Elephas maximus indicus: one gene and its partner. The protein of the gene in region 1 purifies or fractionates together with the protein of each later gene. This does not show direct contact. Links are inferred from orthologs where the notes say so. Each region holds a gene or a part of one and is shown on either strand. Other genes may lie near its edges. The genes, in order: DERL1 and SERPINA1.

Region 1 (15,878 bases):
ATTGACTATGCAAAGGCATTCAACTGTGTGGATCATTACAAATTATGGCTAACATTGTGGAGAATGAGAATTCCAGAACACTTAAGTGTGCTTGTGCGGAACCTGTACATAGATCAAGAGGCAGTCATTCGAACAGAACAAGGGGATACTGCATGGTTTTAAATCAGGAAAGGTGTATGTCAGGGTTGTATCCTTTCACCATACTTTTTCAATCTGTATGCTAAGCAAATAATCCAGGAAGCTGCACCATATGAAGAAGAATGGGGTATCAGGATTGGAGGAAAACTCATTAACACCATGCGATATGCAGACGACACAATCTTGCTTGCTGAAAGTAAAGAGGGCTTGAAGCACTTACTGATGAAGAACAAAGACTACAGTCTTCAGTATGGATTATTCCTTAACATAAAACAAAAATCCTCACAACTGGACCAATAAGCAACATCATGATAAATGGAGAAAATACTGAAGTCAAGGATTTCATTTTACTTGGATCCACTATCAATGCCCATGGAAGCGGCAGTCAAGAAATCAAAAGACACATTGCATTGGGCAAATCTACTGCAAAAGACCTCTTTAAAGTGTTAAAAAGCAAAGATTTCACTTTAAGGACTAAGGTGCACCCGACCAAGCCATGGTGTTTTCAGTCACCTCCTATGCATGCAAAAGCCAGATAGTGAATAAAAAAGACCAGAGAAGAACTGGAGAAGAATAATGAATATACCATGGATTGCCACAAGAAAAAACAAATCCGTCTTGGAAGAAGTACAACCAGAATGCTCCCTGGAAGCAAGGATGGCAAGACGCCATAGCATTTACTTTGGACGTGTTTCAGAAGGGATCAGACCCTGGGAAGGACATCATGCTTGGTAAAGTAGAAAAAAAAAAAAAAAAGTAGAGGGTCAGTGAAAAAGAGGAAGGCCCTCAATGGGATGGATTGACATAGCTGCAACAATTGGCTCAAGCGTAACAACAATTTTGAGAATTGTGCAGGACTGGGCAGTGTTTCGTTCTGTTGCGCATAGGGTTGCTTTGAGTTGGAACTGATTCAGCGGCACCTAAGAACAACCACACGTGGCACAGATGGTTTGTGTTCACCTACTAACCTAAAAGGTTGGCGGTTTATACTCACCCAGTGGGCCCATGGAAGAAAGGCCTGGTGATTTGCTTCCATAAAGATTACAGCTAAGAAACCCTATGGAGCAGTTCTACTCTAAAACACATGGGGTGACCATGACTCAGAATAGACTCGATGGCAAAGGATTTTTTTTTTTTTTAATCAAGTCCAAGGAGTCCCTGGGTGCTGCAAACAGTTAAGATGCTAACCAAAAGATCACAGGTTTGAGTCCTCCCAGAGGTGTCTTGGAAGAAAATCATGGCAACGTATTCCTAAAACATCAGCCATTGAAAACCGTGTGGAGTGTAGCTCTACTCTGACACACATGGGGTCGCCATGAGTCAGCATTGACTCAGTGGCAATGGATTCCTAAAACATCAGCCATTGAAAACCGTGTGGAGTGTACTTCTACTCTGACACACATGGGGTCGCCATGAGTCAGCATTGACTCAGTGGCAATGGTATCAAGTAAAAGCTCTCCTAATAAACAAGGGCGGGCTAGAACCACCTCTGCTCAGCCACGAATACATGAGGTTCCATTTTACGGAAGTAACATAATTTTATAATTACAATATTTATAATTTTCCTATTGTGGGAAGATTTAAAAAAATTATTTGCAAATATTATGCCAAAGCAATTCATATCTAATTGTATTATTCTAAAACCAAACCAAACCCCTTGCCGTCAAGTCAATTTCAACTCATAGTGGCCCTACAGTATAAGCCAGGTTGAGCAGATTCTATTTAGATGCTAAAACCTTCAAAATTGTATCCTGTAAAGATGGCCTATTTCAAAGACCTCCCTGGGCTAGGGGCTGTGGGGTCATGGGATGTTGAGAATATCTTCCACAGAACTGAATAATTATTCCTGATTTATAGACTCCTAATTTTTTTTTTTTTTTTTTACTATAGGGTCGCTGGAGCCCTGGTGGCACAGTGATTAAGAGATTGGCTGCTAACCCAAAGGTCAGCAGTTCGAATCCACCAGCTGCTCCTTAGAAACCCTATGGAGCAAGTCTACTCTGGTCTTTCAGGTTGCTGTGAGTTGGAATCGACTCGAAGGCAAAGGGTTTGATTTTATTTTTTTGGCTATAGGGTTGCTATGAGTTGGAATCATCTTGACAGCAACGGATTTGGTTTTTTGGAATAGCATTTAAGGAACCCTGGTGGTACAGTGGTTAAGGCTTGGCCGCTAACCAAAGGTCTTCAGTTCGAATCCACCAGCTGCTCCCTGGGAGAAAGATGTGGTGGTCTGCTTCTGTGATAGTTAAGGTTGTGAGTCAACTTGGCTGGGCCATGATTCTCAGTGGTTTGGCACTTAGGATGTAGTTTGGCAGTGGTATAATGATGTGATCGCTTCCATGATAAGACTTGATATAATGTTATCACCTCCATGATGGGATCTACTGCGAGTAGCCAATCAGTTGAAAAGGAGCTTCCTTCAGGGTGTGGCCTACATCCAATGTAGGTGGACTTTCTGGCAAGGCTTGTTGGCTTTTGCTCGCTCTGGATCCTGCAGCTGGCTCCTGTTCGTCTGACCTCCAGTTCTTGGGACTTGAGCTAGCAGCTTATCTGCTATCTTGCCTGTGGATCTTGGGATTTGTCAGTCCTCGAAGCCTGTCAGCCTGAACGCTACTGTCTGACTTGCAGATCTTGGGTTCAGCAGCCTCTGCAGCTATGTGAATCAGGAGGAGCCTCCAGTCTGGCTCACGGACTTGGGACACTCCAGCCTCTACAACTGCATGAGCCATTTCCTTAATATAAATCTCTCTCTACATATATTTATACGCTTTGCTCGTTTTGCTTCTCTAGAGAATCCAGCGTAAGACAGCTTCATTAAAGATTTACATACAGCCTTGGAAAGCCTATGCAGCAGTTTTACTCCGTCCTATAGGGTCACTGAGCTGGAATCGACTTGATGGCAGTGAGTTTGGGTATGGGATAGCATTTATGTGCTCAGAGGACAGGCTATCAATCAAGCATGACAGGATGCTGGTCAAATGCCGCTAATTGCTTTAAGGGAGGAAGACAAACTGAGCTAAGCTTAATTGTCCATTATTCTAGAGCAGCGCAGCATCCTTCTGGTGCCGATCTGGGCAGTGTGTGGAGAGAGGCCACAGATGACCAGCAAAAACAGTGCCTACCAGACCCCTTCTCAGCTAAATTTCATCTCATCTCAACCGGCTTCTTAGTCCCTCCCGTTTCCTACTTGGCAGTAAAACACCATCTTTCCCGAGCATTTTGTTTTGGTTACATAGGGTGCTTTGAAAAATGCTTCAAGGAGTTTTCCACGTGAGGAAAGAGAAAGATAAGATAGGGTAGGTACAATGGGATTATCTATTTAACCTATAGACCTTAGAAGAGTGTTTTCTTTTGTTAGTGAAGCAGCACTTGGAAGCTGGGGCCATCTGCTTAACTCTTTAGAAAATTCTTATATAAAAAAATAGGTGTGCACTTGTTGTGGGATGGAGCAGAGTAATGGAACCAACACTGATGGGACATCTGAACCAGGTATATGTTAGCACCAGATATATGTTAGCTGCCTTTCACTGGATTACTACACAGTTGATTCTTTAGTCTTGCTTGCTTTTGCTTTTAAACCCTATAGAAGTCCTATCTGAATTTTGCATCAAATTGAAACCTCTAATTTATGGGCATGGTGAACATATAGCCCCATATTCATATGTTTTGCCTGTTCACCCCATAAATATGCTTGCACTTATTAGATCTTGGACCCTGACTAGTGGTTTGGAAAATATGGGCAGTATAATTTAAAGGCAGGGGACCCAGAATGCCTAGGTTCATTGGCTCTACCTCTTACCAGTACTATAACCTTGGGCAAAGTATTTAACATTTTTGTGCCATTATTTCTTTGTCCGTAAAATCAGGATAATAACAGCAGCTGCCTTGGAAGAGTTGTGAGGAGTTTAGAATAGCATCAACCACATAGAAGTGCTCAATAAATGTTAGCTGTTAGGAAACCCTGGTGGCGTAGTAGTTTAGTGCTATGGCTGCTAACCAAAGGGAAGGCAATTTGAATTCGCCAGGCGCTCCTTGGAAACTCTGTGGGGCAGTTCTACTCTGTCCTATAGGGTCAGGTCACTAGGAGTCGGAATCGACTTGACGGCACTGGGTTTGGTTTTTGGGGTTTGATTGTTACTATTATTTAAGCCACTCTACAGTGGTGCAGTAGTTAAGTGCTATGGCAGCTAACCAAAAGGTCAGCTGTTCGAATCTACCAGGGGCTCCTTGGAAACTCCATGGGGCAGTTCTACTCTGTCCTATAGGATCGCTATGAGTCAGAATCAGCTTGATGCCAACAAGATGCATGATGACGGAGGCTTAAAGGAGCCCTGGTGGTACAGTGGTTAAGCACTGAGCTGCTATCCAAAAGGTCGGTGGTTCAAACCCAACAGCCACTCCATGGGAGAACGCTGTGGCAGTCTGCTTCCATAAAGATTAAACTGAACCCACCGTCGAGTCGATTCAACTCAGTGACCCTACAGGACAGAGAAGAACTGCCCCATAGTGTTTTCAAGGCTGTTGATCTTTACGGAAGCAGACTGGCACCTCTTTCTTCTGTGGAGCAGCTGGTGGGTTCCTACTTCTGGCCTTTTGGTTATCAGTCAAGTGCTTTGACCACTATGCCCCAGGGCTTGCTTCCGTAAAGATTATAGCCTTGGAAGCCCTGTGGGACAATTTTATCCTGTCCTAGAGGGTTGCTGTGAGTGGAACTGACTGGACAGCAACGGAAAAGAAAGGGAAGCTTATTATTCTTCCATATTTCTTCTTACTAGTGGTATGCTGATCAATGTTTAACAACTGGCTCTCTGGAAAAACAAAAACAAAAAGCAAGCCCTCATTTGTAGCTTTTGGCGATTCTGTGGTGTAAATAGTGTGAGAGTGAAGCAAGATGATGCATGTAAAGCACAACCACCCAAAAAACCAAACCCATTGCCATTGAGTCGGTTCCGACTCAGTAGCCCCATAGGGTTTCCAAGGCTGTAAATCTCTGTGGAAGCAGACTTCCTTATCTTTCTCCCGCGGAGCCACCAGTCATTTCAAACAGTTGACTTTTCAGTTAGCAGTCAATCCTTTCAACACCACCACCAGGGCTCCTTCAAACCAAAAAAACCAAACTTGTTGCCATTGAGTCGATTCCGACTCATAGTGACCCTACAGGACTGAGTAGAACTGCCCCATAGAGTTTCCAAGGAGCACCTGGTGGATTCGAATTGCCGACCTTTTAGTTAGCAGCTGTAGCACTTAACCACTACACCACCAGCATTTCCAGGGCTCCTGAGAGCTTGGTAAATAGTAGATGCTCAATTAAAACAAACAAACAACCTTCATGTAAGAGGGGCAGGTGATACTATTTTCCCATTTGGATGATCAACTGAGAGAAAGAGACTTGTCCATGGTTCCATAACTAGCAACCGTCAGAGGAAGGACTGGAATCCAGACTGATTCCTTACTATATAGAAGGGTATCTTTATGTAGTACATGCATGCATGAGCGCACATGTAGTAAAAGTAACAAATGGAAAATACTTTATATGCTGTTTAGTACACACCCCTCTCTCCTAGCCCAGTGAGTCAAAATTTGAAAAATTTCCCAGGCTTGTGGCTAAAAATACAAGACTAGTTCTGGCGGGTTTGACAGCGATGAGTTATTATTCTTGCCATAGCTTCATCTGCAAGATGGGGCTAATGAACTTGCCTAGTAGCTAGCGTGAGACTTCATTACATATTTGCAGTGTGCTTTGAACTTCTTGAAGAAAGATGCCCTTCCATGGCAGGCATCCCATTAGGACAGTGTTCCTCTGACTATAGTGACAGAACGATGCTTGAGTCATCGGCTCTCTGTCAGCATCACTCAGCAGCCACCCTGCCAAGCGTCAGCACGGGACCATATTGTTCTTTTGACTGTTGGGATCCCTCCAATTCATTTTAAACCCTGTTTTTCAGGGAAACAACAGGAAATACATTTTAATTACAGCAGGAGAACATGATCAAGATCATCTTTTCTCCTTTTCAATCTTTCTGAAGTTTCTGACACTGAACTCCCTCTTTCTGAACAAACTTCCTTTTTACATATCTTTAAAATTAATTTTTAATTAATGTACATAGTACATATGTTGTTGTTGTTAGTTGCTGTCAAGTTGGCTCCAACTCATGGCAACCTTACATATAACATAATGAAATGTTGCCCGGTCCTGTGCCATCTTCATGATCACTGGTATGTTTGAGTCCAGTCAGATAATATTATGTTCTGATCCACAAGATTTTTGTTGGCTAATATTTGGATGTAGATTGCCAGTCCTTTCTTCTTAGTCTTACTGTAGAAACTCCACTGAAACCTGTCCACTGTGGGTGACCTTGCTCCTATTCGAAATACTGGTGGCACAGTTTCCAGCACATAGCAACACACAAGCTACCATGGTATGACAAATTGACAGACAAGTGATGGATAGTACATATATACATAGTACAAAAAAAATTAAAGCAGACAACAAAAGCCCAAACAAAACCCACTGCTGTCGAGTCAATTCCAACTCATAGTGACCCTTTTAGTTAGCAGCTGAACTCTTAGCAACTGCGCCGCCAGGGCTCCTAGCAATCCTTTGGACAGAGTAAAACTGCCCCATAGGGTTTCCAAGACTGTAAATCTTTGTGGAAGCAGGCTGCTACATCTTTCTCTCATGGAGTGGTTGGTGGGTTTGAACTGCCAACCTTTCAGTTCCCTCCCTCATTTTACAGATGAAGAAACTAAGGAACAGAAAGGCTAATTTTCCAACATCACATTGCTAGTAAGCAGTCATGATTTAAACTTTAGTATTTATAAAGCCTGCAGCTGAATTCTGGAAGACTCATTCAAATAAAAATCCACTTATAACCACACCACCTATAAATAAATACTGCTAGACATTTGATGTGTGTGTTGTTTTTGCCTTTTTCCCGTGCACATGTACTTACGAGTTTATCCAAGAAATCTTCTTTGCCATTAACCTATGTTAGATAATCCTTGTTTTACCTTATTGTACTCTGGGTACAACAAGGAGTGGGTACAAGAAAATGGTGGGAGTGGGGTGGGGTACAGAGAAGGAGCCTCAGAAAATATCTCCAAGTATTATGTTATTTATACATCCTTCTAGTTTTTCTTTTATACCAAAATTGTCCTTCTGTAAGGCTGTACCAATTTACATTCCCACCATCTATGCATGAGTGAGGGGTTTCATCATATATTCAATATACTTGATGTTCAGTAGGTCCCTAAATGCTGTATATGCTCATTCAATTGTATTTAGTGCCTTTTCATCCTGCAAACCGAAAGGTTGGCAGTTCAAATCCACCAGGTGCTCCTTGGAAACTCTATGGGGCAGTTCTACTCTGTCCTGGAGGATCGCTATGAGTTGGAATAGACTTGATGGCAAGGGGTTTGGGCTTTTTTTTTAATCCTGTAAAAACCTCTTTGGTTAACTAACATGAAGGACATGGTGCTCAGAGACGTTCTCTAAAATAATAGATTGTCAGAAACTTTGCTGTTTGAAATTACATTTGTGTGAATGGAACATCCTGCACTCTTTCCTTGAGGATCTGTGCCATGCCGGGTCACTTTGACACAGGATTTTCAATTCAGGTGAAAAGCTTTAGATAAGGGGTTTTCAGACCCAACATTCCAAGTTTATCTTAACTTTGAGGTTTCCAAGGAAAGAGGACCTGGCCTCTGTTTCTCAGCTCAGGCCTAAGCCTGATGTTAAACCTTTACACACAGCCCTACTTTGCTTTGAGCCTATCAAAACACTGCTTCATTTCACTAAACTCCACCCTTTCTCATAATAACCCTACTCTCCTTTGGTGAGACGTCCCAGGTTCCTCTGGTATAGTGTCTCCTCTGTTGCAGAGAGTTAATAAATCTAACTTTGTTGACTACAGGCGTGTTCCTGGTAGTCTTTATTGGATGGCCTTATGAATTCTCACCTATAAGCCCTAAATCTGAATACAACAGGAAAAGTTCCTTTTAATATCTTTTTACTGATTGTTTTTTTAAAGCATGAGGTGGACTTTTATCTGCTTGTAATTCGACTCGACGGCACTGGGTTTTAATTTAAATCTTGCCTGATGAAACTAGATTAATTGCCAAGATTATTACTGCTTTCAGTTCTCCCAATACTCCAAGTTAGCTGGACTGGCTGTTTTATCTGCATGGAAAACTCTTTGCCAGGATCTTCACCTGACTGGCTAAGCCTAAATGTCACCTCCTCAGGGAAGTTCGCCCTGACCATTCTCACCTTAAAGTAGCAATCTTTCCCACACCAACTCCACCCCGTCACTCTACCTCATCATCCTATTTTATTTTTCTTATTACTCTCTGAAATTATCTTTTTTCGATTATTGTTTATTATCTGTCCATCCCCGTTGGAATGTAAGCTTCAGGAGAGAAGGTACCAGGACAGCTCTGATAGCCGCAGTATCCCAGTGTCTAGAACCTTGCCTGGCACTTAATAGGTCCTCAGCAAATATTTTTTGAAGAGTGAACAAATGAGGGACAAACTACTTCCTTTTACTCCTTCCCGTTTAAATCACTACCAAGTAGACTCCACTCTCAGGCGAGAAAACTGTCAGGGCCACTGGGCTTCGCCATTGGCTGGAGCATTTGCCGTTGCTTCTGGCAACCACTGTTTCCCACCAGTCGCGTCGAGGCCCCGCCCCTCCCCCCTTCGGCCCGCCCCCTTCGGCCCGCTCCCTTCGGCCCGCCCCCTTCGGCCCGCTCCCAGGACCGCCGAGCCTGGCCACGTCTGAAAAAGCGGCGCTTGCCCTTTAAGCGGCAGGACTTCTCATCACGTCGTCCGCGGCCCCCGGAAGAGGAAGTGTCGCCTGAGAACGCTCCCTCGCTCGTCCGAATTCGGTGGCGCCACGTCCGCCGGTCCCCGCCTTCTGCACGGCGGCTTCGGTGGCTTCCGCCTCGACACCTTCCACTTGCGGAGCCAGCCGAGTCGTGAGGAAGCCGAGGCCGGGAGTTGGGCGATTGTGCTCATCCTGGCGACCTGAGAAGCGAAGATGTCGGACATCGGGGACTGGTTCAGGAGCATCCCGGCCATCACACGCTACTGGTTCGCCGCCACCGTCGCGGTGCCCTTAATCGGCAAACTCGGCCTCATCAGCCCGGCCTACCTCTTCCTCTGGCCCGAAGCTTTCCTCTATCGCTTCCAGGTACTGACCGGCCGGACGGTGGGCAGTGAAGACTACACGTCTCAGGCGGCCCCACGTTGGCGGAGCGTTGGCCGGCGTGTTGCGTGAGCGCGGTGCTTAGTGGGATATGTAGTGCGTAGGGCTCCAGAGGGTTAGGGAGGGTCTCGGGGGTCGGGGTCGGGAGGCATAGGGGTCGGCAGCCAGGGCCTGAGTAGCTGGCGACGTGAGCTTTGCCCAGGTGAGAAGGGGCCGATCTCACCCTTATATTAAAGTTGTGGTTTCCGTCCTCTGTGCTCAGGGAATGAGGCAGTGACAAGTTAAGTCAGTAAGTTATGTTTGTCAGTGTATAGGACGCTGTTGGAACCTTTAAGAGCCGTGGCTAGCAGCCTGGGTCCACTTGAAGCAGGTGCCCTCTCACCTCCCTCTGCCACCATGTGGGTGACGTGTGAGTGTCAAATAATTTAGCGAACATTGCGCTGCGCTCTTTTGACGTTAATGGAGGTTTGTTTGTTTTTTCTCTCCTGTAGGAGGGATTTAAGGTCAGAGGTGCAGAGAATGAGTTTATTTACTTGCGGTTTTCCCCTAGGCACTAACCTAGTATCTGGTCTGTAGTAGGTAAATGCATGAAGGAATGAGTAAAGAGTAAATTGCCCCAGAAATGGAAGATACTGTACTATTGTTACTTTGAATATGAAGGAAGGAGTCCAAGGTGATTACTTGGCAAAGGAATGCTCATTGCCTGAGCGTTATCTATATTCACTGGGTCCTATGGTTTAAATTTTAATTAGTGGCAGGTCAGGTACCAGGATCTGACATTAATTAATTAATTTGCAGGGCTTTGAACCGGTGCTTCTGGTTTGAACCCCTGCTGAAAATTTGCATTTCTAACAAGTTCCCAGGAAGTTGTGCATAAGAATCACCTGGGGATCTTGTTAAGAAATCTGGATTCTCATTCAGTATCTCTGGGGTGGAAATGCAAATTCTCAGCAAGGGATCGATCAGAGCTAACCAGTTCGAAGCCCTGATTATTTGGCCTGTGGGTAATACTCTGTTGGCTTCCCTCTCTTCACTGGCTATTATTTTAAAGTCTTTTTTTCTGATTCCTCATCTTCCTAACCTTTAAATGTTGTGATGTGCCCCAAAGATCAGTTATAGGACCTCTTTTCTACACGCTCTCCCTAGGTGATCTTGTTCAGCCTTGTCTTTAGCTGCTGTCTGTAAACTGAAGACTGCTGGATACCAATACAAGTATCTTCAGCCCAGATCTATCTCCTGATTTCTAGACTTGTACATTCCAACCGTCTGTTTGAAATCACCACTTGGGTGTCTGATAGGCATCTCAAACTTAACATGTCCAAAACTGAATCCCCCACTCCCGTCATCCTAGAAGTAAATAGCAACTCCATTATTACAGGAGCTCAAGCTAATAGCAGTTTTGGGATCACCCCTGATTTTTCTTTCCCTTCTACTCCACAGTCTGTCAGGAAATCCTGTTGACTGCCTTGGACATATATCCAGAATACAATCTCTTCTCACTTTGCATTGTAAACCATTATCATCTTCCAGCTTTGTTCCTTTCAATTGTTTCTCCAAATTGCTAGAGTGAGCCTTTAAAAATATAAATCGAGTCCTGCCAAGCCTCTGCTCAGAACCCTCCAGTGTCTTCTCAACTCTGAGTGAAATCCAGGTCCTTTCAGTGGCCTATAAGGCCCCCCACTGCCTCTCTGACCTCATCTACCACTACTCTCTACCTTGTACATCAGTTTCTACAGTGACATCCTTGCTGTTCCTTCAGCTCCAACTCCATCCCTCCTCAGGGCCTTTGCACATGTTTCTCTGCCTAAAGAAAGGTAACCATGGTTTACTCATTTACCTTCTTACTTCTGGTCTCTTTCCAAATGTTACTTATGGGTGATGCCTTCTCTGATTGTCCTACAGAAAATAGCACCCCTCCTTCACTCTATCTACCTTACTCTTAATTTTTCTTGCTATATATCACCATTGGTATTTATCGGTGTGCTTTCCCTAAGAGAAGAAGGCTCCATGCGAGCCAGATCTTTGTCTTGTTTACCACTGTCTTTGTCACCTAAAATAGTGCCTGGCACATAGCAGGTGCTACTGGTTGAATGCATGGAAATAATTGGTCATCTGCTATGTGCTGGCCACTGGGGATACAATAGTGACTAGGATAGGAAAGGTCCCAGCTCCCGTGAAGAAAATAAGAGTGAGGCATGTGATAGGGGGTGACTTAAAGGGTGTAATATTTAATAGGGTGGTCCAGAAAGGCCTTAGAGAAGATATTTAAACTGAAACTTGAATGACATGAGGCAGCCTTGGAAAAATTTGGCTCTGGGGACAACCTTGCAGGAAGAAGCCTGTGAAAGGCTTAGGGGCAGGAACAATGAACAGAAAGACTGTAGCCAGTGCAGATACTGTAGAAATGAGGAGTGGGAGATAAGGACAGGGAGATAGTCAGAGGTGAATGCAGTGAAGTGAAGACAGAAAGTTAGTCTGGGGCCAGATCATGTGGAGCTTTGCGGCCTTGTTGTTGTTATCGTCGGTTGCCGTGGAGCCGGCTCCACCTCAAGTACAAGAGAATGAAAGGATACTGAGTCCTGCATCATCTTCATGATGGTTGGTATGCTCGAGTCCATTGTTACGGCCACTGTGTATTTTGAGGGCCTTCCAGCGCCTATCTTCCAGCACTATATTGGCAATATTCTGTTGTGATCCATAGGGTTTTCATTGATTAATATTCAAAAGTAGATCACCAGGCCTCTCTTCCTAGTCTGTCTCAGTCTGGAAGCTCTACTGAAACATGCCATCATGGGTGACCCTGCTGGTATTTGAAATACTGGTGGCCTAACTTCCAGTGTCATAGCAGCGTACAAGCCACCACAGTACCACAAACTGACACACGGGTGGTGGAGGCTGTGTTAAGGGTTTAGAACTTTATTTTCAGGACACTGGGAAGCCTTTGCAGCCTTTTGAAGAAAGGACTGACAAGACCTTGAGTACTCTGTGGGATGGATGTGGTGTGTAGGGGGACAGGGTGAAAGCGGGGATAGTAGCCCACCATGGTTTGTATGTGAGGAGGACAGCTAGGTAATGGAATCAGAGATGAATTAAGTTAGTAGGCAAGAGAGATGGTGGTTTGGACCATAGAAGTGGATAGATTTGGGAGTCGGAGTGGACAAGATTGCTCGCTGGATTGGATATGAAGGGTAAAAGGGTGAAGGAAACAGGATTCGCAGATGTCATTAAGTGTTTATACAGAAGTAGCTGAGTGAATGGTGTAGCCATTTCCTGAGATTGGGAATGTTTAGGAACCCTTAGGTTTGGGGAGAGGTGTGGACAAAGAGTTAGGTTTTAGGCGTGTTAACTCTGAGATGTAGTTGTGTTCGTTTTATTGTAGTAAAAATAATATAACAAAACATTCGCCAATTCAACCTTTTTTCCATGTTCAATTCAGTGACATGGATTACATTCATCATGTTGTGTTACCCTGTTTTATAGACAGCTGCTCTTTCAGTTTCTATTTCGGTACGTCAGAGATGGTTCTAGGCTATCTTGCTTAACTCCTTTGCGTAGTAGCTACCAAACCACATAGCTAAGTGTGCAGTAGGACATTTTTGAAGATGATTTCTTCCAAATCAGTCGTAGGAAATTAGAGTAGACAGAACCATCACCACTGTTTGTTCCCAGATTATTCCGTCATCCTTAACAGAAACTTGGTGCCCCGTAAGCAGTGGCTCCCCCCTCCACCCCACCCTCCCACCCCTAGTAACCACTAGGAAACTTTGGTCTCTGAGGTGCTTGTAGGCGCTTGGATATAAGAACGTGATTCTGGGTGGCAGCCAGAATCGCACTGCAGAATTTTCTCCTGTGATTTGCTTTAGTAAATACTTGTTGACTGAGTGAAAGTTTTGTACTTTGTGCCTGGTGACATGTTGGGTAATGTGTGTCACGGGGAGCAATGATAAATTGTTTTGTGAGAAGGACCTGGTCAAAACTTGGCTGTTTGACCCTCCTTGCAAAATCTTGCTCACTTGTGTAGTCCATTTACTAAAATAAGTAACAGAAGAAAGCCTTTCTGATAGGGGGCAGATGCATAGTGTCAAAGGGGGTCAACTGACTCATTATCTTTAGAAAGAGTCATCATTCATGTCACCCTGCCGGGATTTTTCTGCCCTCCTTGCACTGTTTCTTCTGGCCTTGTTATCTTGAGACTGAAGCTGCTGGCAGGAGGCAGGAGCAGTGCACTGACTGCCCAGGTACGAAAAGACACTATCTTTTACCAGGGTTTCCAGTTTGAACCCCTGCTGAGAATTTGCATTTCCATCCCTGATATACTGAATCAAAATCGATATTAAGATTCCCTAGGTGATTCTTATCTGTAACAAATTTTCGGAACCTCTGCTGTACTAGTGGTTCTCGGAGTTAGTTCCTAACCAGCAGCCTGGGAACCTGTTAGAAATGCAAATTATCAGTGGGGTTCTATCCAGAACGAACCGAACAGGGTTCAAAGCCCTGATATACCGTGTGTCTTCCTCTTGCTCCTCTGGCTCCTACCTATGCCAGACACGTTTAGCTTTCGGATCCACCTGAAGGGACTCTTTGCTAATGAAGCAGTTGAGGAAAGACTGTATCTGAGAGAGGCTGACAGGCAAAGACAAGCTGTGTTGGGCTTTAGCAGCATTTCTGCCAGAGGCTTATTTTTTCTTTAGAAGCTGAATCTTTAATAAAGACCTTGGAATCTTTATAGACCTTCTTGCACTTAAAAAAAAAAAAAAAAAAATTGTGATGGTTGGGTTGATTTAGAATTGTAGATTTGTGTTAGAAGTGACAGATGTAATTTTTCCACCTTATTTATAGCTTCCCTGTGAGTCACTTACTGGTTTGGAACTCCAGAGTTTAAAATGTGCTTTCCTTAGTTTGGATAAGCCAGAACATCTAGGCGTATGTTAAGACTCACTACACCACTGTCCAGAATTTCTTTTTCTCTCTTCCTAATCCCTCAGACTTAAACCCATCAGTTAAGTAGTTCACAGTGATGAAATGTCTTCATAGTGGTCCCTGATGAACTAGTAGAAAGGCGGCAGTTTCCTGCTACTTACTATCTTCTGGAGTTATGTCTCCCAGGTTATTGCCTACCTGGCAATATTTCTTCATTTCTTTGAACAAAATAACGTCGCCCTGTACATCTGTATTGTGCTTCTCCGTGTCTTACCTCATTCAGCTCTCACAAACATCCTAGGTAGATGTTACCCTACTTTATAGACAGCTGCAGTTTCAGTTTCTATTTCAGTGAGACGAGGCTAGTTCTAGGCTATCTTGTTTAACGCATTTGCATAATATATACCAAACCACATAGCTAAGTGTACGGTAGAACAGTTTTGAAGATGATTTCTTCCAGATCAGTCATAGGAAATTACTTTTCCTTTTCTGTTAGACAGGCTGTGAGTTTTCAGGTAATTGAGCCATGATCTCAAGGCCTGGCTGAGCCTTCAGCTAGTTATGTGCCCTTAAAAACCAAAAACCCACTGCTGTTGAGTTGATCCCTATTCATAGTGACCCTGTAGGACAGAGTAGAACTGCCCCATAGAGTTTCTAAGGCTGTGAATCTTTTCTTTTTCTTTTTCTTATCGTGCTTTAGGTGAAAGTTTACTGCTGAAGTTAGTTTCTCATACAAAAATTTATACACACATTGTTATGTAGGCCTGGTTGCTATTCCTATAATGTGATTGCACATTCCTCCTTTCCACCCTGGATTTCCCGTCTCCATTTGCCCAGCTCCTATCTCTTTCTGCCTTCACATCTCACCTCCAGACAGGAGCTTCTCATTTAGTCTCATGTATCTACTTGAACTAAGAAGCACACTCGTTATGAGTATCATTTTGTGTCTTATACTCCTGTCTATTCTTTGAAGAGTTGGCTTCAGAAATGGTTTTTGTTCTGCGTTAACAGAGAGTCTGGGGGCCTTGTCTTCTGGGGTTCTTCAGTCTCAGTCAGATCATTAAGTCTAGTCTTTTTAGTAGAATTTGAGTTCTGCACCTCAGTTTTCTCTTCTTTCAGGGACTATCTGTTGTATTCCCTGTCAGGGTAATCCTTGGTGGTAGACAGATACCATCTAGTTCTTCTGGTCTCAGGCTCATGGAGTCTCTGATTTATGTAGCCTCTTTTGTCTCTTGGGCTAATATTTTCCTTGTGTCTTTGGCTTTCTTCATTCTCCATTGCTCCAGGTACATTGGGACCAATTGATGCATCTTAGATGGCTGCTTGCTAGCTTTTAAGACGCTAGACACCACTCACCAAAGTGAGATGCAGAACATTTTCTTAATAAACTTTGTTATGCCATTTGACCTAAATGTCCCCCAAAACCATAGTCTGCAGACCCCTCCCCAGCTACTCGTCCCTCTAAGTGTTTTGTTGTATTGAGGAAATTTCTTAGCTTTGGATTTAGCCCAGTGCTGCTGACTTCCCCTGTATGATGTGTTGTCCTTCCCTTCACCTAAGGTGATTCTTGTCTACTATCTAGTTAGTGAATGCCCTTCTCCCTCCCTCCCCACC
Region 2 (16,531 bases), on another chromosome or scaffold:
CCTCTGTAAAAAGAAACACAAAACGGAGGCAGGGAAAGAGATGACGACTGGTAGCCAGGCCAGTGGTGGTGCGGAGAGGCAGGAGGATTCGAGAAAGGTTTATAGAAAGAGTCATCTTATGTTTTTCCTCTGACCCTCGCCTGCAAAATGGAAATAATAAAGCCTGTCTTGCAGAGTTGTTCGGAAGATTCCAGTTTCTGTATATAGAGCGCCTGGCCCCCAGGAGCCCATCAGAAAATTGGATGGGTTTTGCTGGAATTGTGTAGTGAGCAGTGGGACGTTGGGAAGCGGTCTCTGTGTCACGTCCTGGCTGGGGGGCCTTGCCGAGAGGCGCCTGCACTCCCAGACAGAGCCCCAGAGGTGGCCGCGGGAGGGTGGAAGGAGGGAGCAGGGGAGCTGATGCAATCCCTGTCCTTGGGTGGGAGGGATGAATTTCATCACCACCGGCAGCTCCAGCCCCCACCCTGCAGTCCTCCAGTGATGCATTCCTCTTGTCTCCTCGGGACGGGGTGAGGGGGCTGGATTTTGAGTGGTGGTGGGAGCCCGGGGTGGGCTTGCCTGCGGTTTGTCAGCCTCTGGGTGAGGTGTGTGGAGACACAGTCGGGATGAGCCTGAGGGGGGCCACAGAAAACTTTCAGTGTCAGGCTAAGCAGCTGAGACTTCAGTCTGAGAGCGACAGAAAGCCAGTGAGGAGGCTCAAGCTGGCTTTCTCCAGTAGCGCTCCTCCCGTGCCAGGGAAAACAAAAAAAAACAAACCCGTTGCCGCCGAGCAGATTTCAACTCATAGCTACCTATAGTACAGAGTAGAACCGCCCGTAGAGTTTCCAAGGAGTGCCTGGTGGACTTGAACTGCCAGCCTTTTGGTTAGCAGCCATAGCTCTTAACTACTACACCACCAGGGTTTCATCTGTGCCAGCGAAGGTGGGTGTCAAAATGGTGTGGCAGAGCCCAGACAGGAAACACAACAGAGTCCCTGATGGAGCAGGAGAAAAGTGAGGTGCAGAACTCAAATTCTAGTAAAAAGACCAGACTTAATGGTCTGACTGAGACTGGAGGAACCCCGGAAGACATGGCCTCTGGACTCCCTGTTAGCCCAAAGCTGAAGCCATTCTCGAAGTCAACTCTTCAGACAAAGATTAGACTGGACTGTAAGACATAAAATGATGCTTGTGAAGAGAGTGCTTCTTAGCTCAAGTAGATACATGAGACTAAATGGGCAGCTCCTGTCTGGAGATGAGATGAGAACCCAAAACAGGGACAGGAGCTAGTTGAAAGCACATGGGAAATCTGGGGTGAAAAGGAGGAAGGTGCTGTCACATTATAGGGAGAGCAACTAGGGTCACATAATATCAATGTACAAATTTTTGTATGAGAAACTGAACTGTAAACTTTCACTTAATGCACAATAAAAAAAAAAAAAATTGCGTGGAGAGGCCTCTGACCTCCTCTCCGTTCACAAGGGGGAAGGAGAATCAAGATCAACAGCCCAAGGCAGATTCCTATGAGGCGGAAGTCAGACGCGCCTCCTCTCTCTGCCATCTTTACCAATTCTGACACCAACCGTCCCTCCCACGGCACTCTCTGCTTCTCTGCTGGGTTCGATAATTCATTGCAATGGCCACACAGAACTCACAGACAATACTCAACATTATGAGGTTTATTAGGGAAGTAACAGGTCATAATTCAGGTTCAGGAACACTCAGGATACAGTCTTCCATCAGGACGGCCTCTTCTCAGCCATGCCCGCAGGCACGCCTCTCTGACCCTAGGCCTCTGCCTTGCTCGGCCAAGTGTTACAAAGCTCTTTTAGCTCTGCCACTCAGTGCCCAGAGGCATCCCACCCTGCCAGGAACCCTCAGCCAGAAGGTACCCAGCTCTAGCTCCATGGGTAGGCAAACCTAGCTCCACCAAGTGCCTGGAGACGCCCTACTCTGCCAGCAAGGCTTCTGCCTGAAGGCACTCAGCCTTCTTGCTCCATGGGCCAGGAAGCCCAATGCTCTGTCTGCTGCCAGTTACTGCCCATCTCCTGCCTCACCACCATTTCTCTGCTGCTGCTTCTCACTGCCTTTGGCGTTACAGCTCTCCCTGTCTTGGTCTCCTGGTTCCAGGAGCTTCTCAGCACAGGGATCCTGGATCCTTTGGGACATGCTCCACTCCTAGCTTTTCTTTCTTGGTGGTAGTGAGATCCACTCCTCCTGCCTCTGCGATGGCTCATTGTAAGCCTAGTGGGATGGGTAAACTGACCAATCCCTTTGTCAGGGTTCCATACACCTTATTTGCATAGTCCCATTCAATCACTGTGTGTAAGTCACAAAGACTATGGCTAAAAGGGCCATATTAAGCAATTCATTGCACTGCAGCAGGGCATGGAGAGTGGTTAGGCCGGCCTAAGTTAGAGTTTTGCTGGGTGGGCACAAAGGAAAAACGAAAGCGAGTCAAGGATTGTATTAGTTTCCTCTTGCTACTGTAACAAGCACCACAAAATTAGTTGCTTAAAACAACACAAGTTTATTCTCTTACAGTCCTGAGGGTCAGAAATCTGAACTCAAAGTGTTGGAAAGACTCATTCTTTCTGAAGGCTTTAGGTGCGAGTCAATGTCCTTCATTCTTCCAGCTTCCAGAGGCCATCTGTGTTCCTTGGCTCATGACCCCTTCCTGAATGACTCTGATGCCTGCGTCTGTCCTTGCATTTCTTCTCTGACTCTGGCCCTTCCGTCTCCTGTATAAGCAGCCTTGTGATTACATTGGACACGCCTGGATAATCCAGGCTAGTCTCCCCATTTCAAGATCCTAAAAGTTATCACATCTACAAAGCCCATCTTGCCATGTAAGGTAAGACATTCACAGGTCCCAGGAATTAGTATGTGAACATCTTCATATAATGGGGACATTATTGTGGCTACCAAAAAGGTATTGCCAGGAGAGTGGCCGAAGGGATGGACCATGAGATTTAAGCTGGTCACTCCACACCATTTCCATCTGTCTACTACGGCCCCAGAAGGGCCAAGGGCACGTGGGAGGGAGCAACCAAGATGTGATTTTAGATAAAGAGTTGATATTAGAGGTCTCAGATTGAAGGCCAAGGTGCAGCCATGACCGTCTGTGGTGGGGAAGAGTAAGAAACAAATCTTGGAAATGAGATGGACAGAAGGCAAGAGGCCAGGGGCTTAGAGGGGCACCCATGAGGACACTGAGTGATGCCAGAGAAGACCAGGCCGGGCCCAGGTGCCCATGTCCAGTGATGCTGGGGGTGATCCCACCACCTGTCTGTCAGTTTGTCCCACTGTGGTGGTTTGTGTGTTGCTGTGATGCTGAAAGCCATGCCCAGGTATTTCAAATACCAGCCAAGTTACCATGATGGACATGTTTCAATGGAACTTCCAGACTAAGACAGACTAGGAAGTAAGGCCTCGCAACCTGCTTCGAAAAATCAGCCCATGAGAACCCTTCAGATCACAATAGAACATTGTCTGATGGAGTGCTGGAAAATGAGACCCTCAGGACTGAGCAACATTTTGTTCTGCTGTACATGAGGTCACCAACAACCACAGGGTGTGATGCACAGGCCTGTGGATGTCAGGGGTGAGGTTGGGAGAGCATGGGGCCATCCAGGGAGGCTGTGTAACTGCAGGAAGAGGAGAGGTTGGGAGAGCATGGGGCCATCCAGGGAGGCTGTGTAACTGCAGGAAGAGGAGAGGTTGGGAGCCAGCAGGGAGGCCGGGAGAATCAGACCTGCTCTTGCACCCAGGGAATGGTGCCATTTGCTTGTTCCTGGCATGGGGACATGTGAAGAGAGTCCCTATCCAACGGAGCAGGGAGGGTTGGCAGAAAGAGATCTCAACAGTAAATGAGTCCAGGGAATGTTGGAGAGCAAACAACCCCCACTGGAGAGGACTCGAGGAGAAGCAAGCTTCTCTGGGGGAGTCGGGGCTCACTATCTGTGAGTACACAGGAGGAGGAACAAGGGGTGACAGGGGCCTGAGCCCCAGAACAGAGAGGGGCGACAAGGAGCAGCAACAGGAAAGATGTTATGCAACCCCCCATCCGGCATTTCATCATCTCAGATGCTGCCAGCCAGCTGTGGACCTGCCTTCAGAGAGTTTATTCCTTCCTGGCATAGGGGGTGGTGAGGGGTTGGAAAGAGATCCTATCCAAGGAGGTGGGAAGGATGGACAGAAAGAGACCTGAACAGGGAGTTCAGAGATCTGATTCCAGCCCCAACACCTTCCTGGCTCTCACCCCATATGTCAGCCCTCCGACCTGTCATCCATCTTTCTGCCCCTGCCTCCTGTTCATCTCTCATATCCACGTCTCCTCCCTCCCCGGATTTCTGGAAGAGCCTCCATGTTCCCCGGCTTGGCCCTCACCAGAGCGTGAGTTCCAGACAGTGGGGACCATGTCTTCTCACCTTTGCAAACCCAGAGCCTAGTGCAGTTGCTGGCACCCAACAGGAGAGCAACACATGATATTTAGAGAGTGAATGAATAAATGAGCAGGTACACTAATAGATGGGTGAATGTAAGGAAGACAGCCCTATGAGCTGATTATAGATGTAGGAAGGAAGGACATGTAGGAAGGAAGGGAAGGCAGGAGGGAGGCAGGTTGGCTGCATTTTCAGCACTGTGGTAGCGGTCTGTGCCTCAGTTTCCCCATCCACACTAAGGGGAGAATAATGGCGCCCACCGCAGGGGATTGCACGTGAATACACATAAAGCATCTAGAACAGAGCCCAGCAGGTAATAAGCACCTGAGAAGCATCAGCTGTGATGCAGGTGATGATAGACCGCACACGGGAACACTTTGGGGATTTGTATTATAAAATGTGAGCAAACAGAAATGCTTAAAGTCAACATGAAGGGAAGTCAACAACGGGGACTGAACCGCTTCAACCCAAGGTCGTGAGGCAAGTTCTAGACGCCCTATCGCTCCCTGTTATCTGAGCCGCCCACACAGGACATGTGCCTCTGAAAAACAAGTCTCAATGTCCTGCTGGGTCTCCATGTTCCCCTCGGGGGTGAGTCCTGTCACCCAGCCCTGCCTGTGCCACCCCTCCCTCTTCCCTTCCAACAGGGTGCCCCAGAGAGGGTCAAGGACAACACTCAATGTCCAGGGGCCGGGAACGGTGAGGATGGGCTGGGACATGGTGCCCTGACTACAAAGCCCGCATGTATGCTCCAGAACGTCGTACAAAGAGCCTGCTGAAAGGAGAACAGAGAAAAATTAAAGGGGCTCCTACTGGCCGAAATATGAAACGGGGAACACCAGAAGGGAAATGATCATGACAGTTAAACAGGACAGGTTGAGTCTCCTAAAAGCTGCGAGTCCATAATGGCACTCAAAGGGTAAAATTACAGTGTTTTATTGTACTTAGGTGCACTGAGTCAGTTCCAACTCATAGCGACCCTGTGTACAACAGAACCAAACACTGCCTGGTCCTGTGCCATCTTCCTGATCATTGTTATGCTCGAGCCCATTGTTGAATCCACTGTGTCAATCCATCTGGTTGAGGGTCTTCCTATTTTTCACTGACCCTCTACTTTATCAAGCATACTGTCCTTCTCCAGGGACTGATCCCTCCTGATAACGTGTTCAAAGTATGTAAGACAGTCTCGCCATCCTTGTTTCTAAGGAGCATTCTGGTTGTACTTCTTCCAAGACAGATTTGTTTATTCTTCTGGCAGTCCATGGTATATTCAGTATTCTTCACCATCACCACAATTCAAAGGCGTCAACTCTTCTTTGGTCTTCCTTATTCATTCTCCTGCTTTCCAAATTACAGTGCAGGAAAGGTTAGTTATAATAGAATGCTTATTTTATTTATTTTACTGAGTGGGGGATGAAACTATAAATGTACGTTTTATTCCTTCTATTAACTATATTGTCCCTTACAACGCACCGATATCTTTATTTTTCTCTATCTGCGTAGGCTGAGGAATGAAAACAAGGAACTCTGAATTTGTCGGATAGTTTCAGAAAGTTCAGAAATTGTACCAAGTATAGGAAGCAGCGCTGGAGGTTGAACACAGGAAGGACCAGGGTCCGCCTGGATGTTGCAAGTTGGCAGGTTCACAAGAGTGCCAGGAGGAGGCGAACCAAGTGTGCAAACGCTCTCCATCCCTGGTAATAGCCCTAGTAATTAAAGTGCGTTCTGAGAAGGCAGCCACGTGTCAACCATGCCGGCACAATTGTTAAATACACACAGGCAGCACCTTAAAGCCACCTGTGAGAAAGAGACTCTTATTGTCCCCATCTTACAGATGAGGATGCTGGGGCTCAGCAAGGCGAAGCAAAGCCCTTCCCCCAGTGAGTCCCAGGCTGCCCGGCTTCCGCTGCCCCAGGCCCACCTGGCTACATTGCACCTCACAGGTGCTCAGGTAGACGCTAGTTGCATCTCCAGGAAGCAACATGAACACAGGCCCCTGGAGAAAGGATGGGTGGCCTTCTCAGATAAGTGGAAGCCTGAATCTGAGGAGGCATCCCTGGTCTAAGAGAGATGCTCCCAAATGGGGACCAAAGGCAGGGGTCTTTCTCCCACTCTCAGGCCTCTGGGATCCACCTGAAATCTTTTCCAGACCAGGGTACATTCCCATAGACCATAACAGCAGTTGGCATTAACTTGGGGCCATGTGCCAAGACTGCCCTAAGGGCTTACATGTTATATAACCCTCGTGGAAGTGAGTGACAGTTCATATGCCCATTTTACAGATGAGGAAACTGAGGCACAGAGAGATTACAAGGCTTGTCTAAGATCATGCAAAAAGAAAGGGGTGGAGTTAAGGCTTGATAGCTTAGCCCCTGAGTCTGTGCTTAACAGACCCTGGAAACGGGAAGGAAATCTGAGAGGGAGGGCATGTGGTGTGTGTGTGTGTGTTGGGTGGGGGGGCAGTACAGGCTGGTTTCCACACTTTCCTGCAAATGGGTTCAGCTCCCCTGAAATCCAGGGGACTCCTGAGCAATCGACGATCCTTGGTCCTTGGTCTACTTGGCCCAGGACCCTTCTTCAGCACACTCCACTCCTCACTTTCCTCCTTGTTGGAGACTCGGCATCTCAGCTCTCAGGCCTCTCCCTATCCTACACAGTGGGGCTCCCATTCCTTTGCAGGGCCCTACTGGAGACCCTGCTTGGTGTAAATAGTAAAGCGCTCAACTATAAACTGAAAGGTTAGTGTTTGAATCTATCCAGAGGTGCCTAGGAAGAACGGCCTGGTGATATAAAAAAAGGTGATATACTTCTGGAAAATCAGCCATTGAAAACCCCTAAGGAGCGCACCTCTGCTCTGACATGCGTGGGGTCGCCGTGAGTCATTGAAAACCCCACGGAGCGCACGTCTGCTCTGACCTCTGCTCTGACATGCGTGGGGCTGCCCCGAGTCACTGACAACCCCACGGAGCGCACGTCTGCTCTGACCTCTGCTCTGACGTGCGTGGGGCCGTCGTGAGTCACTGAAAACCCCACGGAGCGCACGTCTGCTCTGACCTCTGCTCTGATGTGCGTGGGGCCGCCCGGAGTCACTGACAACCCCACGGAGCGCACGTCTGCTCTGACCTCTGCTCTGACGTGCGTGGGGTCGCCGCAAGTCAGAACAGACTCGACAGCAACTGGTTTTGTTTTGCTTTTTATGTTTTTACGGAGGGGCAGAGTCTCCCCAAATATCCGTCTCCAACCTATCCACACGATTTCCCGTGGTGCGGTCGTGCCCGGGGAACCCACCCAGGCGATGCCACAGGCAATTCCAGAAGGGACCCAGAGAACAAGATTCTCTCCCCCACCCCCTGCCCCATGGCCTCTGGGTCACGGGGTACAGTGTCCTTCGGTATTGGCCACTAACGCCTCCGTGTACTCTGTCCTTGTTCATTTTCCCAAATCACCCCACTCCTTCTTCTCAGGATGGGTACCCAGAGTCACTTCTGCAGCATAAAACACTAGGGGGAGAGTGGGAGTGAGGATGGGGAGATGAGGAAGCGCTGGGGATACAGCCCGGGACCCCTCACTCTCCCCTGCTCTTTCCTCATTCCTTCTGTAAATGTCCCCCCATCTGCCATCTCTCCTGCTCCTGCCAGGCTCTGTGATACACTCCTCTCCCCTGCCACACACCCATCACAGCCTCCAGGGGGCTCCCATGAGCATTTCAGGGGTGCCTCCGCCCTCTTCCCTCTGCAGCTGACCCAGGCACCTGCCAGATACCCTGTTCTAGGCCCTGAGCCAGGAGGGTGATGCCTGTCATCTCCATTAATCCCGAGCGGGTGTGGTCAGCCCTCTTACAGAGGCCCAGACCAGCCGGTAAGTCTTCCTGGGCCACAATGCTGGACCAACAGGGCAGCTGATAACGCGCAGGCCTGCCCAGGCTGAGAAGGGTGGGTCTGGCATCCACCTGGCAATGACAGCTTTGTGCAAGGCAGCATCCTGCCCCTGTGCCTCCACCCTCCCAGACCCGTGGCCTCCACTGCCACCGCAGCCTCCTTCCTCCTGGCCAGCAGACACTCACGACTTCCCCACACCAGCTGTGGAGGAAGAGGGATTGGACCACTGCAGGAGGCGCGTCATGCCCGCCAGGAATTCAAGGTACAGGGGGTGGTACCCTCTAGCCAGTCCCCAGGCCCCCTGGGGAAGGGCGCGGGGGGGGGTGCCTGCCAAGAGACCATTGCCCATCCAATACAAGAGTTGGGAGGGGCAGCTGGGCTTCGAGGTTGTACAGATGGGGAAACTGAGGCCCACAGAGGGGCAGAAGCTTACCAAGAAGGTATTGAAGGCACATCTCTCCAAGATGTGACGGGATATAAAATCCTGGGGGGATGCCCACTTGGCTAGATCAGGGGACAGCAGAAACACTGAAGCCAGGTGACAAAGCTGGGGGGTCCTTGCCTCTCTGAACCTCAGTTTCCCACTTCTGTAAAGGCAGGGGTACACACCACCTCCAGGGGTACTGTGAGTACTGAATGAGAGAATGCCTGGCATGGGGTCCAGCTTCCTGGAAGAAAGTTCTTAGAATGTCCCCCACCTCTAGTCAACCCCAAGACTCTCCACCCCACGACCACCTCGAGACGTCCCACCCCACCAGTCACCCCAATGCCCCCCATCCCACCAACCACCCCGATGTCCCCCACCCCACCAGTCACCCTGAGGCCCCTCACCCCACCAGTCGTCCTGAGGCTCCCGACTTCACCAGCTACTCTGAGGGCCCCACCCTATAAGCCACTCCGATGCCCCCACCCCACCGGTCACCTTGAGGCCTTCCCTGAGCACCAGCAGCAGGGTTTGTGGGTAAGGCAGCAGGGAGACCCTCCACACTGGGCAAGGATTAAGTGGGAGCCCTGGTCAGCATCAGAGAAGGCCTATTGTGCACATGTGACACTTGGCCCCGGGCTCAGCTTGAATGGCTACATTTAATCCTCACACTGCCCAGTCAGGTAGACACTGTCCTGGTTCCCATTCTACAGATGGGGAAACTGAGGCATGGGAAGGTTAAACAATGTACTTCAGGTCTCACAACCAGCGGAACCATATCCCCATTTTACAGATGAGGAAACAAGCACAGAGAGGCCCAGCGGCTTATCTGTGACCACTCAAAAAGGGAGGGGTGGAGTTAAGGCTTCAACCCACATAGCTTAGCCCCCAGGGGCTCAGCATTCAAACCCTGCCAACCTGGCTCTGACTCCCTGGTCTGAATGTTTTTGCTAGAGACAGAACCCCAAGGGGAAGGCAAAGTGGAGACTGAGGGAAGGAGAGAAGGAACAATGACACAGTCATCCATTAGCTCAGCAAATGTCTGCTTAGTGTGCTTAGTGCCACGGTGCCAGACTCAGGTGCACACGGACAGAGCAGAGCAGCTCCCGCGCGGAGCGTGTGTACAGAGATCAGCCACGAGTGTCGAGGGGTCCTCAAGTGTCTCCACGGTGCAAGCGCAAAGGGAGGGGGGCAGAGTGGGGGTGTGGGGTGATGGGTGCTGGCTTATTCAAAGGGAAAAACCTTTGTGACCGGGGGAGGTTTGAGTGCAGGTTTGAGCAGAGGCCTGAAAGAAGTGGGGGAAAAGTGTGCAGGCAAGGGGAACAGCCAGTGAAAATGCTCTGAGGCTGGAGCAGGCCTGAGAGGCTCCAGGGACAGCAAGGAGGCTGGCATGGCTGGAGCAGAGTGAGCATGGGAGAGGGTGCCAGGAGGTGAGTCGGAGAGGAAGGGGGCTCCTGGAGGTGTGGGCCACTGGGAAGGACTTGGGCTTTTTTCTCTGTGCAAGACAGGAGCCATGAAGCGTTTGCACAAGGTGCGATGTGATCTGACTTAGGTTTTTCAAGGGATTACAAGCAAGTGGAGCTGAGACTGGGGCTGGGGTCCTTCCGGTCTTACCCCCTAACACTCTCCCAACCACCATAGGGCACCCAAGGGCCTGCAATAGCCCCAGGGCTGAGCCACATTCCCAAGGAAATGGGAGCAGTCTCTGGGTGGCACAAACAGTTAAGAGCTTGACTATTAACCAAAAAATTGATGGTTCCAACCCACCTAGAGGGGCCTTGGAAGACAGCCCTGGTGATCTGCTTCTAAAAGGTCACATTTTTCAAAACCCTATGGACCAGTTCTACTCTGCAAGCACGGGGTCGCCATGAGTCGGAATCAACTCGACGGCAACCGGGTATTTTTCGTCTGTGGGTCACGTTGGTCTGCCTTGAATTGGGCCTCCTTCTGCTCAGAGCAGCCTGGAGATAAAGAGCCTACTGTGTGTCAGGGACTTTATATAAGCTGCTTTGTGTGGTCCTGGCAACAACGCTAGGAGGTGGGAGTGCCAACCAGGAGGCAGATAATGCATGAGGCAGATGAAAACACCCCCAGGATCAGAGAGGTGAAGCAGCTTGCCTGAGGCCACACAGCTCTTCGGTGGCAAATCCAGGCAAGAGTTGACCAGGATCAGCCTCACCCCAAAGCCAGGCTATCTTTGCAGATACACTCTGAGACCCCTGGCTGTGCCCACGGGTACCCCACGTCAGACTGATGTGGCCCTGTCAGCCCTGTCCTGCAGACCTGCCCCACCCTCTCCTCAGGGAAATCGCGAGCCTCTTTGTATCTGACGCTGGCTTGGTGACTTTGGATGAGTGGCCTCTCCTCTCTGGGTCTCAGTTTCCCCATCTGTCAAATGGGCTAATAACATGCTCTGACACCCAGGGCAGCAGTGAATCTTCAGCCCCAGGCGTTTGGAGGTGGCTGGCTAAATGGCAGCTCCTGCTCTCCGAGGACAGGGCAGCCACCAGGATTCAGAGCGGGGGCGTGGGGCTGGCAGAGCGGTGCTGTCCCAGGAGTCCCTGACTCATCCCACCCCACCTCAGACACAGCTGGTTTATGAGCTGAGAACAATGATCCTCTGTGGTGTGTGAAGTGGAGGGCTGTGCACTGCCCAGGTTGAGCCCATGTGCCTCGGTGCCTGGCCAACGGACTTTGTCCCTGTTTGCTCCTCTGATAACTGTGGTGACCTTGGTTAATAATCACTAGCAGCCTCCCCCCACTTGCCCCTCAGCGCCCACTGCTTAAATACAGACGAGCACAGGGCTCTGTCTCCTCAGCCTTGGTCAACACCTGGCCCTGGGACAGTGAGTCGTGAGTATGCCTTCTAATGGGGAGAGCCTCCAGGCGGGTGAGGGGATAGCCAGAGGCCCCAGGAGGATGGAGCTGGCTGGGTCTAGGCCCCCTGTCGCCATAGCAATAGCAGCCCTGGGGGGGCTCCCCCATACCTACCAGTGAATGAGCAGGCAGATGTGGAAGTGGGTGCTGGCTCCGCTGTCTGGGGACCCCAGGAAGGGCGAGGGCCAAGCTACAGCGGCAATGACAGTGAGAGCAGGCGTTTGTCTGCACAGCTCCGGCGCCTTTCAGGGTTACCTCCTTTTAGCCTCTCAGCCTCCCAGTGCTTGGCCACCATCCTCCTCCTCTTCTACAGATGAGGCGCTAAGGTGCAGAGAGGGGCAGTGCTGAGCCCAGGTCACTAGGGACCTGGGCCAGGAGCCTACCTGTCATCCAGGTCTCCATCATCTCCAGACATGCCTGAGAAACAGTACTGCGCTAGCCTGGGCCTGCAGGCATCGGTATGGGTCTCCCCCAGGCACGGGGGCCGCTGGGCACCCCTCAGGCACGGGAACATTGGCACGGGATGCCATCGTCAGGACTCCAGCTAACCTTTCTGAGTGCTTATTCTGGGTCTGGCAGCTGCTGAGCTCGGTGCAAAAATTAGCCAATTTTATCCTCACAACAACCCTCTGAAGTGGCTACTGTGATTATTCCCACTTTATGGATGAGGAAATTGAGGACAGGGAGGTTAAGAACTTGCCTCAAATCACACCCTGTTTGGGATTCAAACTCAGGCCGCCTAGCTCCTGACCCGGCCGCACTGCCAGCATGCTTCTCAGGCACAAGCTGGGGAACCAGAGCCTCGTCTATCCCTGGGGCCTCTCCAATGCTCAGTGACCTTTGACAGTTGCTCAACCGCCCTGTCCTCTTGTACAAAACGTAGATAACCTTTGCCCTCCCTCCCCTACACCTCTGCCCTCACTTGGCCCTGATCTCTGAGTGTTGAAAGGATTTGATTTTTCTGCCGTTGGTTTTTGGAGTTGGGCTACAAAGATGACCAAGGCCAGGCAGGCCAGGCTCCCCTATAACGCCTGGGAAAGGTCCACGGCAACACCCAAGGCTTCTTGAGGGCCTCCTGAGTGCCTGGCACTTCTCAGCTCTCAGTGCGTATTTAAACTGCACAACCAGCCTGTGAGGGGGGCGTACTCTTACCGTCTCCGCTTCACAGACCAGGAAGCGGAGGTTCAGAGAGGTTGAGGGACTTGTCCAAGGTCACATAGCTAATAGCCAGTTGAACTCAGGCAATCCACTGTCAGAGCCTCTGATCTCAGCCACTAAGCAATGCTGCCTCCCTTCATTTAGAGGGACCACCTCGGAGGTTTTCCTGTTTCAAGGCCCTTTGCTTCAGCTTTGCACATAAAGATTTCCGGTTGCTGTGGGGTGGATTCCAACTCATGGCAACCCCAAGTGTGTCGGAGTAGAACTGTGTGCCATAGAGTTTTCAATGGCTAGCTTTTTGGAGTTAGATCTCCAGGTCTTTCCTCCGAGGCACCTCTAAGAGAGTGTACTTGAACCTCCAACCTTTCAGTTAGCATCCCAGAACTTTAACTGTTTGTACTATACAGGGACTCCAACTTTGTACACAGAACCCAGTGCAGTCAAGTCAATTCTGACTGCACAGAGAAGGGTTAAAAGTAGCTAAATAAGGTTCGGGAACCCAAATGCCTAGGTTAAATCCCGGTTCCGTAAACTCCTAGCTCAGTGGTTTTCAGTCAGCTCTTTTGACCTCTTTATGCCTCAATTTCTCCATCTATAAAACGGGGCTAATAATAATCCCCACTTCACAGAGTAAGCTTTGAGGGGAGATTGAAGGAATCAATGAGCATAAGACAACAGTCTTAGTTATCTGTTGTAGTTGTTAGGTGCCGTCATGTTGGTTCCGACTCATAGTGACCCTGTGTACAACAGAACAATACACTGCCCAGTCCTGAGCCATCCTCACAATCGTTGCTATGCTTGAGCCCATTGTTGCAGCCACTGTTATCAATCCATCTCGTTGAGGGTCTTCCTCTTTTTCTCTGACCTTCTACCTTACCAAGCATGATGTTCTTCTCCAGGGGCTGGTCCCGCCTGATAACAAGTTCAAAGTATGTAATACAGAGTCTCGCCAGCCTCACATTCTGGCTGTACTTATTCTAAGGCAGATTTGTTCATTCTTCTGGCAGTCCATGGTATATTCAGTATTCTTTGCCAACACCATAAATCAAAGGCATCAATTCTTCTTCAGTCTTTTATTCATTGTCCAGCTTTCACATGTGTATGAGGCTATTGAAAACACCATGGTTTAGGTCAGGCGTGCCGTAGTCCTTAAAGTGCCATCTTGGCTTTTTTTAAAACTTTAAAGAGGTCTTTTGCAGCAGATTTGCCCAATGCAATGCATCGTTTGATTTCTTGGCTGCTGCTTCCATGGGCATTGATTGTGGATCCAAATAAAATGAAGTCCTTTAGTTATCTACTACTGCTACAACAGAAAGTTGTCTAGTGGTGCTGTAACACCAGCAGATGGCTTTAACAGACTGAAGGTTATTCTCTGACAGTCTAGGAAGCTATGAGTCTGAATTCAGGGCACCAGCTTCAGGGGAAGGCTTTCTTTCTCTGTCAGCTGTAGGGGAAGGTACTTGTCATCAATCTTCCCCTGGTCTAGGAGCTTCTCAGCACAGGAACCCAGGTCCAAAGGATGTGCTGTGCTCCTGGTTCATCTTTCTTGGTGGCAGGAAGCCTCTCTCCTCTCTGCTCACCCCTCTCTTTTTATATCTCAGAAGAGATTGACTCAAGATGCAAGCTAATCTTGCAGATTGAGTCCTGCCTCATTAACATAACTGCCTCTAATCCAGCCTCATTAACATCATAGAAGCGGGATTTACAACACATAGGAAAATCACAGAAGATGACAAAATGGTGGACGACCACATAATACTGGGAATCATGGCCTCGCCAAGCTGAGACGCATTTTGGGGGGCACAATTCAATCCATGACAGCATCTCATGTTTAAGAAGTACAGTCATGTTGATGGCAATTCTGAGGTTTGCTTAGTGTAGGGTTAGATAACTAATAAACAAATACTTGGAGAAATAAATATAAAGTTTTCCAAACAGAGACACAGTTCATTGCTGAGTAGGGGCCCCCTCTCTGAAACTGGCCAGGGAGAAGTCTGCCAGTTATCCAGGGGACAGGAAACCAGGCTCAGAGAGGTGAAATCACTTGCTCAAGGTCACATAACCAATAAGTACAGGGCTGGGCCATACCCAGGCTTATCAATGCCAAGGGCCTTGGTCTCCTAGGGCTGCCGTGTAACAAAATACCACAAGGTGGGGGGCTTTAAGGAACAGAGATTTACTTTCTCATAGTTCTGGAGGCCAGAAGTCCAAATCAGGGTCTGAGCTGTGTCGGCTCCTTCTGTGAGCCTCTTTCCAGTTTTCTGGTGGCTGCTGGCAATCCTTGGTGTTCCTTTGTGGCTCACAGAGACATGGTGTCTATCTCTCCCTACGTGTCACTCCCTTTTTATAAGACACCTCTCAAAAAGAATTAGACTAGGACCCACCCTCCTCTGCAGTGACCTCCTTTGACTCACAGATAACAAAGGAAAGGCCCTGTTTCAAACCAGGGCACAATCACAGTGTTAAGACTTCAGCGTATCTTTCTGGGACACATATGAACCTAAACCACCAGGTTTCAGCAGGTTTGGACCTTCTGCCTCAGTCGTGTCCCTGGACCCTGCCTCATCTCTCTTGGTCACTCAAGTCATGCTCCTGGGTGGAAGTAGTGTGAAATTGGGCAAAGGTGTCACACTCTTCACTCTCCCCTGTCCCCTCTGGCTTGGATACCAGCAAGCTCACTGTCAGACCCCATTCTCTTGGTTGGATGTCTGGCCCAGTGTCGGCACATCTCTGGGTGCTTCACCAACAACTCTCTCACCTCTGCTGGCCTCTCCAGTCCCAGGGTTTGGGGCCCTCCACTGGGGCTGCTTGTTCTGATGGCTGGGCGTGGAGGCAGCAGAAGCCTTGGGCCCCGGCGGTTGTAAAGAACAGACTGAGAGGCCCAACAAACCTGCAGCAGAAGGTCTAGTTAACATGGGGCCCAGCTGTGACTTGGGCAGAATCAGAGACTGAGCCATGGCCATCTCCCTCTGCAGCCAGAGCAGTGGGGAAACCAGGGCTCCTTCCAGTTTCTTCACGGATGCATTCTCCCTGGGCCTCAGCCCCTGCCTTTCCCTGGGCCTCAGCCCCTGCCTTTCTCTGGGCCTCAGCCCCTGCCCCCATCTGAGTCTCAGCCCCTGCCCCTCCTTGGGCCTCAGTCCCCACCCCTCCCTGGGCCTCAGCCCCTGTCCCTCCCTGGGCCTCAGCCCCTGCCCCCCTCTGAGTCTCAGCCCCTGCCCCTCCCTGGGCCTCAGTCCCCACCCCTCCCTGGGCCTCAGCCCCTGCCCCTCCCTGGGCCTCAGCCCCTGCCCCTCCCTGGGCCTCAGCCCCTGCCCCTCCCTGGGCCTCAGCCCCTTCATCACAAAAGGAGGACCTAGAGCCCATATAAGTGGGTGAGGGCGCCTGTGTTCACTGGTTGCACCCACCCCACCCCATCTCACCTTCTAGAGGTCAGCAGGGATACCTCCCTTGTCCATCCCCATGGAAATTTCCAGTCTCAGCTTTGCTCCGCCAAGCCCAGAAGGTACCTCTGAGAATCCAAGGTTAGCACCACTGAGGGGGCCCCCTTTGTATAGTCAAGGGCAGTGAGGCCTCAGAACAAAAGGATGCTTGTCCAGGGCCAGTGGACAGTAGTGGCCCTGTTAGGGCTGGAGGAGCCAGCCTCTGGCCCCGAGCCCCTTCAATGTACTTAGTGTCCCCACCCTGCCTAGGCCCAAGCCACTTCCGATCTCAGAGCCTTGAAAATTTCCATAAACTCTGAAGGACTGGACCCAAATCCAGCTGGGAAGTAAG

What was found.
Region 2: the proteins of DERL1 (region 1) and SERPINA1 purify together in Homo sapiens (affinity purification with western blotting; 4 studies listed by BioGRID). This does not show direct contact. The link is inferred for Elephas maximus indicus from reciprocal best matches to the Homo sapiens genes DERL1 and SERPINA1.

Annotation. Positions count from the first base shown.
Region 1 is NC_064833.1:19,711,884-19,727,761, forward strand, and holds the start of DERL1 (derlin-1), read left to right. Parts: upstream 1-8,938; 5' UTR 8,939-9,176; coding exon 9,177-9,329; intron 9,330-15,878. UniProt on the Homo sapiens protein: Functional component of endoplasmic reticulum-associated degradation (ERAD) for misfolded lumenal proteins. Forms homotetramers which encircle a large channel traversing the endoplasmic reticulum (ER) membrane.
Region 2 is NC_064828.1:107,949,742-107,966,272, reverse strand, and holds the start of SERPINA1 (alpha-1-antitrypsin), read left to right. Parts: upstream 1-8,226; 5' UTR 8,227-8,378; coding exon 8,379-8,563; intron 8,564-11,554; exon of another isoform or gene 11,555-11,578; intron 11,579-16,531.